Linked DNA regions of Canis lupus familiaris. The main gene of each other region encodes a partner of the protein of the gene in region 2 in a complex. Links are inferred from orthologs where the notes say so. Each region holds a gene or a part of one and is shown on either strand. Other genes may lie near its edges. The genes, in order: EHD1 and MICALL1.

Region 1 (4,522 bases), on a different chromosome or scaffold from region 2:
GGAGGCCCAAGGACAGGAAGTGTAGCTACCCTTCCTTCTAGCTTTCCAAAGTTCTATGTGAAAGTCAAGACCTAATAATGCTTGGAATTCTCAGCCTAGCAGCCAAACCGTGCACAAGATCCTAAGGCGCCCACCAGCTGACAGTCTGGGCCAGTCGCCTATCTATAAGCACAGTAATTCCCAGACACAGGTATTCTCCAGAGGAGGGCTCAAGGCTAAGAGGGCCATGCCTCTCACATGAAGGGCTCTACTCAGCTCCGGCTGTGACACACAAATGCCCTCAGCCATCCAACATGTGGACAGGCTTAAATGCCTCCAAGGGGCAAAAACAAACAAACAAACAAACAAAAAAAAAACACAAGTCTGCCTGTCTTCTCTGCTAAAAGTCAGCTCTTGTGCACAGAGGCAGGCTGGCCCCCGGCTTGGATCAGGAGCAAGCTGGTTCACCCTGTGTAGCTGGACAGTGTCTGGAAAGGAATGTGATCATACAGGGTGGAGACCTGGAAGACAGGAGTCCAGGATTCTTTCCTAGGCTCTTCCCCCCAACACAGACTTTGAAAGGCATGTGGAGTCACTCCTTGAATGGGGGGTGGGGGTGGTGGCAGGAAAAGCAGATCTGTGGAGTCCTTTGGTTGCTGGGGGTAAGGGTGGGGACAAGTTCCTTTCCAGAGGAGTGAACTTGATTGTTGGAAAGAAGAAAGAAGGCCAAAGTGTTTCATTCCCAGCATCAGGAGGGTTAGACTCTGGGAGGAGGACCCAGATCATGAGGCAGACTTCACCCATCTAATTGGGGAAACTGAGGCTCTAGTGAGGGATTCAGGGCCCAGATCTCACTCCAGGGCTCCCAGTGGTACAGCCTGAGGCTGCTTCCTGCAACCCCTAAAGGAGCACAAACCCTTTAGAGCTGACCTCCAAGGAGAAGTGTTCACACTCCCTCTGTCTGCGACCTCATGGGCTGCCCCAAATACAGCAGGCCACAGCAGATCCTCTCTGCCCCTCCCTCCCACACAAAACCAGCGGTCACGGGGGAAGCACAGCACAGCAGCAAAGGGAATAACTAAAAGTTTCACGTATTTTTCCATGACACTTCGGCAGCAGGCACTTGAAGGAGAGAGGGGAAAGGGGTTGGCTTGAATGAATCAGGTGCATCCAGTCTGGGACGACCCTGGGAGGAGGTGGAGACGGGACGCTCTCACCTTCCCGACGCTGACCCCGGTCCTGAGGGAAGCGGGGTTGAGATCCGCTGGAAGGTTTGGGAGTTAAACTGATAACCTGGAAAATTCTGGAGGCGATAAAAGCGGGGGAGGGGCCGGAGACCTCCGGATGCGCTTTTTGTGCGAAGCGGCAGGGGCCCCGGTCCCGGGGAGCGGTCGCTGAGGGGCTCGCTAGGGCCTCGGAGACAAAGGACGAGCGGGAGCCGGGGGCAGGCCGCGGCCGCGGTAGGGTCCGGACCTGGGTGCGGCCCCGGGGTCCCCCTCGGCTCCGCGGGGGGCGAGGGGCGGGTACCTGTTGAGGAAGGCGTTGCCGAAGGCGTTGAGCTTGCGGAAGGGGCGCCGCGGGTCGACGACGAGCGCGTTGCCCGGCACCACACCCTCGGTGGGGCCGTGCATGACCGCGATGAAGGAGTCGGTGGTGGGCTCGGGCCCGATGCGCATTCCCGGGAAGTCCTGCTCGATCAGGTGCCGGATGAAGGTGGTCTTGCCCGTGCTGTACTGGCCCACGAGGAGCACCATGGGCTTGTTATCGAAGTCGGCGTCCTCCAGCGCGGGCGAGTGGAACTCGTGGAAGCGGTAGTGCTCCTCCAGCGGCAGCAGCTTCTGCGCGTACAGCTGCCGCAGCCCCTCGGCCACCGTCTGGAAGAGCTCCGGCTCCTTCTTGCGGCGGGCATCCTTGCTGACCCAGCTGAACATGCTGCCGGGCGCGGGGCTGGCTGCTGCGGGGCAGAGCGGCGCTGAGAGCCGAGCAGGGCGCGGAGCCGAGGCGGGGCCGGGCCGGCCGGCGGAGGCGCGGAGGGGCGGCGGGGGTGGGGGGGCGGGGAGCGGCCCGCACTGCGCAGGCGCCCGGCACGGCCCGCGGAGCGCCCTCTGCGCAGTGGAGCGCGCGCCCCGCCGTGCGGCCTTTATAGGCCCGGCCTCGCGTTCGGGCGCGCGCGGGGCCGCGGGAGGGCGGCGGCGGGAGGAGCCTCCCCCGCGAACCCCGTGCCACGTCCTTCCCTCCCCCGCCTCCCATTGGCCGGCTCCAAGTATCGCGAGCGCCGCTAGCTCCGCGCCCCGCCCCCGGCCCGGGTGCCGTGGCAACCGCACCTGTTTTGGTCCCTCCTGGGCTGGGGCGGCTCGCGGAGGCGCTGCGGCTGGGAAGGCGGGAAGCGGGGCTCCCGCGCGGAGCGGTCCCGCGGCCTACGTGCCTTCCGGAGCCCTCGAGACGGCTCCCCGACTGCGCGCCCCAGCCGCGGTCGCCCCGCGAACGGTCGTCCTTCCCCCGGCGGCCTCGCGCCCCCCCCCCCAACTGCTCGCCCTCACCTGATCCTCCTTCCTGCCCCTCCGCTTTACCTGCTTCGGGAGACGGAGAGATAGGAACGAGGTAGTGGAGAGAGGAGGCCGAGGGGTAGAGCATCCCAGGCCGGGTGGTGACTGGGGAAAGAACAGGGCGGGAGTAGGCGGTCCCTGGGGAAATCTGGCGGCGCAGCAAGGGGCCGGACCCCCGGGGCGGGGGGGTGCGGGGTGCTGGGGTTGGGAGGTGGGCGCGGCAGTGGAAGCCACGTGACAGCTGACACATGGGAAGAAAAGGTGGCTTCTCCGAGGAGGCTGCACCCCACCCTGTGGGAGGGTGGGTAGGGGTACAAAGGAAGTGGAGGCCCTCTGGCCGCTTGAGTTTTGAGGAAGTGAAATCGGAAATTCCCCGTGTGGGGAGGAGGGGGAATGTGGGGCAACAATGAAATCTTGTGGGAACTTAGGGGAAATTAAAAAACCCAAATACTTCTGCTTTCCTCTCAGGGTCACTACTAGTTAACCTTTATGCTGACCTGTGCATCCCCCCTCCCCCTTACCAGGTCCTGGCTGTTCCATTAGGCTCATTCCCCCACCATCATTCCCAGCCACACTTAGACCCCCTTGGCTGTCCAGGCTGGTGAGAATCTTCAGTGGGTGATGTCAGAGCTTTGGGGACTGTGATTGTTATGTAACCAGTATCGGGGACACCAAAGTGTAGGAGGGGGTGGGGAGCCTCGGAGTTAGATCTAAACTGCACTTAAGAACTTGAAGGCCTGGTGTCCAAACCTCTGGCTTCTGGGAAATGTGAGAGCCCCGAGGGCCAGATGCCTATACTTGAAAAGAGAGCAGGCTGGCAGTCTAAGACGATGGAGGCGGGAACCCAAATCTGAGAACAAGTAGAGTTACTTGGGGAGCTGGGTCAAGTGGGAGCCAGAGAGGGCAAAATGGGAGGTTTTGATTGCCACTTCATGTAGGATGAGGCTCAGTTCTTTCTGAAGAAATAAAATGTTAAGTCAGTTGCCTTCCCCTCTTCCCTCTGCCTCCCTGATCATTGGAGAGCCTGGCCAGCTGGCACTCTTGTAAGTCTCCAACTTACTGCTTTTATTTGGGATTTCATTAGCATTCTTTTCATCAATGCCAGTATACCAGAAGCCGCAAGACTTTTCTTGGTGGACTCCTCAAAAGAACATATTGAGACTCCTAGGCAGGGCTGTCACCAGAGGCTGTGTGCCAGCTGATGATCAGGAGCCTTGGGTGGGCCCCAGTCCAGACTTCCTGGGCCAGCCTTAGAAGCCAAAGAACTTGCCTCCTCTGTGACACTTTGAGGGGTCCACCCCGGAGATGCAGTTTCTGCTGTTCCAGGGAAGGGCTTGGGGCTGAGGATCCTGAAAGAGGTGGTTGTTCAATGGCCTGAATGAGGCTTCAGGGAGCTCCCTCGCGGCAGCATTCACATTGACCCGCCATGGTCTTCACATCTCCCCAGAGTCCTCTGTGCTGGGAATAGCCAGCCCAATAAAATTGAAAACAAAATGTTCCTGGGTTATTTATACATGAAACTTCCAGCCACCGTTCCTTCTATATGGCCACTTGACTTTCTCCAAGGAGCGCAAAGGACTGAAAGAAGGGATCTCTCTCTCTCTCGTGAGGCTCAAGGGGACAGAAATTAGTTTTCCCAATTTCACGGAGTTGGCACTCAGGTCCTGGGGAGCTTCCTTATCTAGTAATTCCCAGATTGTAAAAGTGTCCTAATTTTCTTCTTGTTTTTGGAGCAGAGTAGATTGTTTTCAGTGGGAGTTTTGTAAAACATGAATGAAGGATTTCACTTTTGGTTTCTCTGTTTCACTGTCTTTGCCCAGGGCCCTGACAAAAGATTAAGAGTTCAAATGTTTTCCTTTATTGTGGAAATGATAACCATGCCCCACTCCCAGTGTTTCCTCCTTTCAGATTCAGAAACGCACACCTGCGCAACCTGGCCTTGTGCCACTAGGTCTCTGCAGAGATTGCTCTCAGCAGAAAAGGGTCACCTGCTTTCT
Region 2 (3,800 bases):
GTCCATTCTTTCTCCAGGGCTTGGGGTAGGATCAGGAGATACCAGGCCTGGGAAGGGGGAAGTCAGCAAGTCTGTAACACTGACTCTGCCATTCTGGCACTGGCAGGATTTAACATGTAATGTAGCAAATACTCACCTTGATTCCTGTTGACCCAGAGCTGTTTTCTAGCATGATTCCATTTTGTTCTCTCACCAACCCTGGGAGGTCAGTAGTTTGTGCTGATACACAGATGAGAACATGGAAGCTCAGAGAGGTTTGGTCATTTGTCTGAGGTCAGGCCCCCCCCAGGCTCTGAGATGCTCAGTGGAGTGACACCAGCCCTTCACACCTGGATAGCACTTCATGGTGCGCAGAGGGCTGTTCCCACATGCTCCCCACATGTCCTGGCCAGATGAGCTCCTGAGGGATGGGGAGCCTGGCTCAGTGTGGGTGCCCAGGGAAGTGGGGGCTGAGACAGGCAGGAGGTAGAGGATTCCACTGGTAGGTGAGCCCAAGGCCCAGAAATGTGAGCAGCTTGCTAGGGGTCAGTGTTTGCAAGTGGAGAAACTGGGATTCAAATCTGCTGCAACTTGAGGAGGGGAGGCAGAGGAGGCCAGTGAGGTGGGCTAAGACAATGGTCACCTGCCCCGGGGCCAGCCTGCTGGGATGGGAGTGAGTCAAGGGTAGCCGAGGGGAGGGGGTTATACAGCCAGGAGCCGTCTTCCTGGCAGCAAGGGCCCCAGAAACTGGAAGTCAGGACTTTTGTTTCAATTCTGACTCAGTGACCTTGAGCAAGTCTCCCCGCCACCCCCTGCCGCTCTGGGCTTCAGTTTCCTCATCTACAGAAGGGCTACAGTCTCTCTTCCTCTGCTCCTCTGGGGCTTCGGTGAAGTACATTACCATCGGGAAGCTCGTGTGCACTTGAGGGCAGCGGCTATCTGTGGGGAAGGGGGCTGTTCTAGAACAGGGTGGCTGGCCACTGCAGCCCCACGCCCTTCCGCCCACCTTGTTCTCTGCAGGGCGAGGAGCTGTCCTCGGGCAGCTTGTTGGAACAGGGCACCCAGCGGACCCCCAGCAGCACGTGCGCAGCCTGCCAGCAGCATGTGCACCTGGTCCAGCGTTACTTGGCCGAGGGCAAGCTGTACCACCGGCACTGCTTCCGGTGAGTAGCCAGAGGGGCGGGGGGGGGGGGGGGGCGGGAGGGAGTGGTGGTGAGCCCCTCCAGCACCCCGTTTCCAAGGAAGGGAGCTTCTATGGATTCAGTATCACAGGCACACCTCGGGGCCCTGCATGCAGAGCATCTTGCTTATCCCCATTTTTCCGATGAGCAAACTGAAGCTTAGTAAGGGGAAAAGCCTCGGAGCTCAGGGGTTTGACCTCCCCCTCCAGAGCTCCCTGAGGCTAACTACCTGATGACTATGAAGGGACTGCTATAGAAGTCCTTGAGAAAAAGGAAGGATTTAAAAAAAAATTACAATAACAACTCACTTTCAGTGTGTAGCTCCCAGTGGAAGCTAAGTTTAAAGAAAATGGAATCAGAGCCAAGGAAAAGACAAAAAACTTAGAAAATGTATGAAAACATTTTATATGTTGCAAAAAAAGCAATAAGAAAATAGGGGAAGCCAGAGACTAAGTCCCAACACGCATTCAAATGTGGGTTAGTTGTGTGTCTGTATTTGAGTGTGTGTCTGTGTATATCTGTGGGTGTATGTGTGTCTATGGGTGTGGGTTAGTGTATGTCTGTGTTTCTGTGGGTGTGGGTTAGCATGTGTCTGTGTGTGTGGGGTGTGTCTGTGTCTGTGGGTGTGAGTGTGAGTGTGAGTGTGTGGTGGCCAGGCCTGGAATCCCAGGGGCCTGACTGCAGAACTCAGGTGTCATGAGGGAAAAGTTTCAAGCAGGGGCAACATTATACTAACACATTCACATCTGGCCAGGAGAACAGCATTTTAAAGACTTTTTCCAATGATCCCCCTCCCCCCCACCAGTAAAAAATACATTTGACCCTGCGACCAGTTGTGAATACATGCCTGAATAAAACCCCATGTAAACAGATGTACAACTGGGCCACCTGGGTGGCTCACTGGTTGAGCATCTGCCTTTGGCTCAGGTCATGATCCTGGGGTCCTGGGATAGAGTCTTGCATTGGGCTCCCCACAGCGAGCCTGCTTCTCCCTCTGCCTGTGTCTCTGCCTCTCTCTTTCTCTCTGTCTCTCATAAATAAATAAAAAATCTTAAAAAAAAAAAAAACGAACAAACAGATGCACAACTGGAATTATAGTTTCCTAAAACTATATTCTTGTGTGATACATTCCGATATGTTGTATTTTATTCTGTTTCATAAAAAATATAACCCAAAAGCCTGGCTTGGTTGAAACCTACTCAGTTGATTTCCTGAGCCACTCATGACCTACCTGGGCTGGTACCTCTGTGTGGGGGCAAACCTTTGCTTCCTCTTGCAGCACAAACTTAAGGCATGTTTCACAATTTATGTTGCTTGATTTCATGTGATTTTATTGTTCTGTGCTTTTTTTTTTAAAGATTTTATTTATTCATAGAGACACAGAGACAGAGAGAGAGAGAGAGACACAGGCAGAGACACAGGCAGAGGGAGAAGCGGGCTCCACGCAGGGAGCCCGATGTGGGACTCGATCCCGGGTCTCCAGGATCACGCCCCAGGCTGCAGGTGGCACTAAACCGCTGCGCCACTGGGGCTGCCCTGTTCTGTGCTTCTGACAGTTACTATTTTCCTTCTCTGGGAAGTCTAGGGCACAGGGTCCAGGCTGGTCAATGGGAGGAGAGAGGGGGAGCCGGTGTCCTGGGCTGGGTGCTGGGCTGAGTTGAAGCCCCCACCCCACCTTCTCCCTGACAGGTGTCGGCAGTGCTCTAGCACCCTGCTCCCTGGAGCTTACAGAAGTGGGCCTGAAGAAGGCACCTTCGTGTGTGCGGAGCACTGTGCCAGGCTGGGCCCGGGTGGGCGGTCAGGGACCAGGCCCGGGCCCCCTCTGCAGCCAAAGCAGCAGCAACTTGGAGAAGAAGTCAAGGATGTTGACGGAGGTGGCCCTGGCCGTACTGCACCCGCAGGGGCTGAGGCAGAGGGGTCCCAGGCCAGCCCTGAGGCCCGGCCCCAGATCACCACCAAGCCCCGGCTTCCAAACAAACCACAGGAGCTGGGTGGCTCCCCGGCCGGCCGCCCCACACCTGCCCCAAGGAGGGCCCCTGAGAGCCCAGCCCCGACACCTCCCACGCCCCGGCCCCGGTCCAGTCTGCAGCACGAGAACTTGGCAGAGCAGGGTGGCAGCAGTGGCCTAGTAAATGGTGAGCAAGGGCCCAGTGCAGCTGGGCACTGGCTGGGGTGTGTCTGGTGTTTACATGTGCATGTGCACTGTGAGTATCCGGGGGTTCATGTTCTGTGCCTTGTTTGGTTCCACACGCATGGAGGCCTGAGCTGGGCCCCGGAGACAGATCTGTTCAGACCTATTTGTGCCTTCGAGCTACTCTGTCAGTCTCATGGCAGTGTTGGGGGGGGGCAATGGAGACAAGCACAGACATAGGGGCTTCCACAGAATGTGGAAATCTGTTAAGTCAGGGATAGCAGAGGTTATTGTGGGTTTTGTGGAGGACACTTGGGGGTCAGGGGAGGCTTCAAGGAGTAGTGACACTGGGGCTGAGTTGAGGTAGTGTTTCCATGTTGGGGAAGTGTCCAAGGGACACTTGGGTTCCCCCTTTGGGGCTGAAATGCAGATGGAGTTTCCAGGTTTCCTGGCCTGGCCCCTATGACCATTCTTCACCTGTCACCTTTGGTGCTTATCTCCCGGAGTGC

What was found.
Region 1: the proteins of MICALL1 (region 2) and EHD1 are in contact, whole or in part, in an NMR structure (PDB 2KSP), measured with the Homo sapiens proteins. The link is inferred for Canis lupus familiaris from reciprocal best matches to the Homo sapiens genes MICALL1 and EHD1. Residues at the interface, in NP_203744.1 of Homo sapiens: Lys422, Tyr424, Asn425, Pro426, Phe427, Glu428, Glu429; in NP_001269373.1 of Homo sapiens: Gly464, Ala467, Lys468, Met471, Asn478, Leu481, Gly482, Trp485, Lys486, Lys492, Asp493, Gly494.

Annotation. Positions count from the first base shown.
Region 1 is NC_049239.1:52,795,948-52,800,469, reverse strand, and holds the start of EHD1 (EH domain-containing protein 1), read right to left. Parts: upstream 3,081-4,522; 5' UTR 3,075-3,080; coding exon 3,047-3,074; intron 2,631-3,046; coding exon 2,550-2,630; intron 1,934-2,549; coding exon 1,507-1,933; intron 1-1,506. UniProt on the Homo sapiens protein: ATP- and membrane-binding protein that controls membrane reorganization/tubulation upon ATP hydrolysis. In vitro causes vesiculation of endocytic membranes. Acts in early endocytic membrane fusion and membrane trafficking of recycling endosomes.
Region 2 is NC_049231.1:27,729,629-27,733,428, reverse strand, and holds part of MICALL1 (MICAL-like protein 1), read left to right. Parts: intron 1-999; coding exon 1,000-1,142; intron 1,143-2,849; coding exon 2,850-3,295; intron 3,296-3,800. UniProt on the Homo sapiens protein: Lipid-binding protein with higher affinity for phosphatidic acid, a lipid enriched in recycling endosome membranes. On endosome membranes, acts as a downstream effector of Rab proteins recruiting cytosolic proteins to regulate membrane tubulation.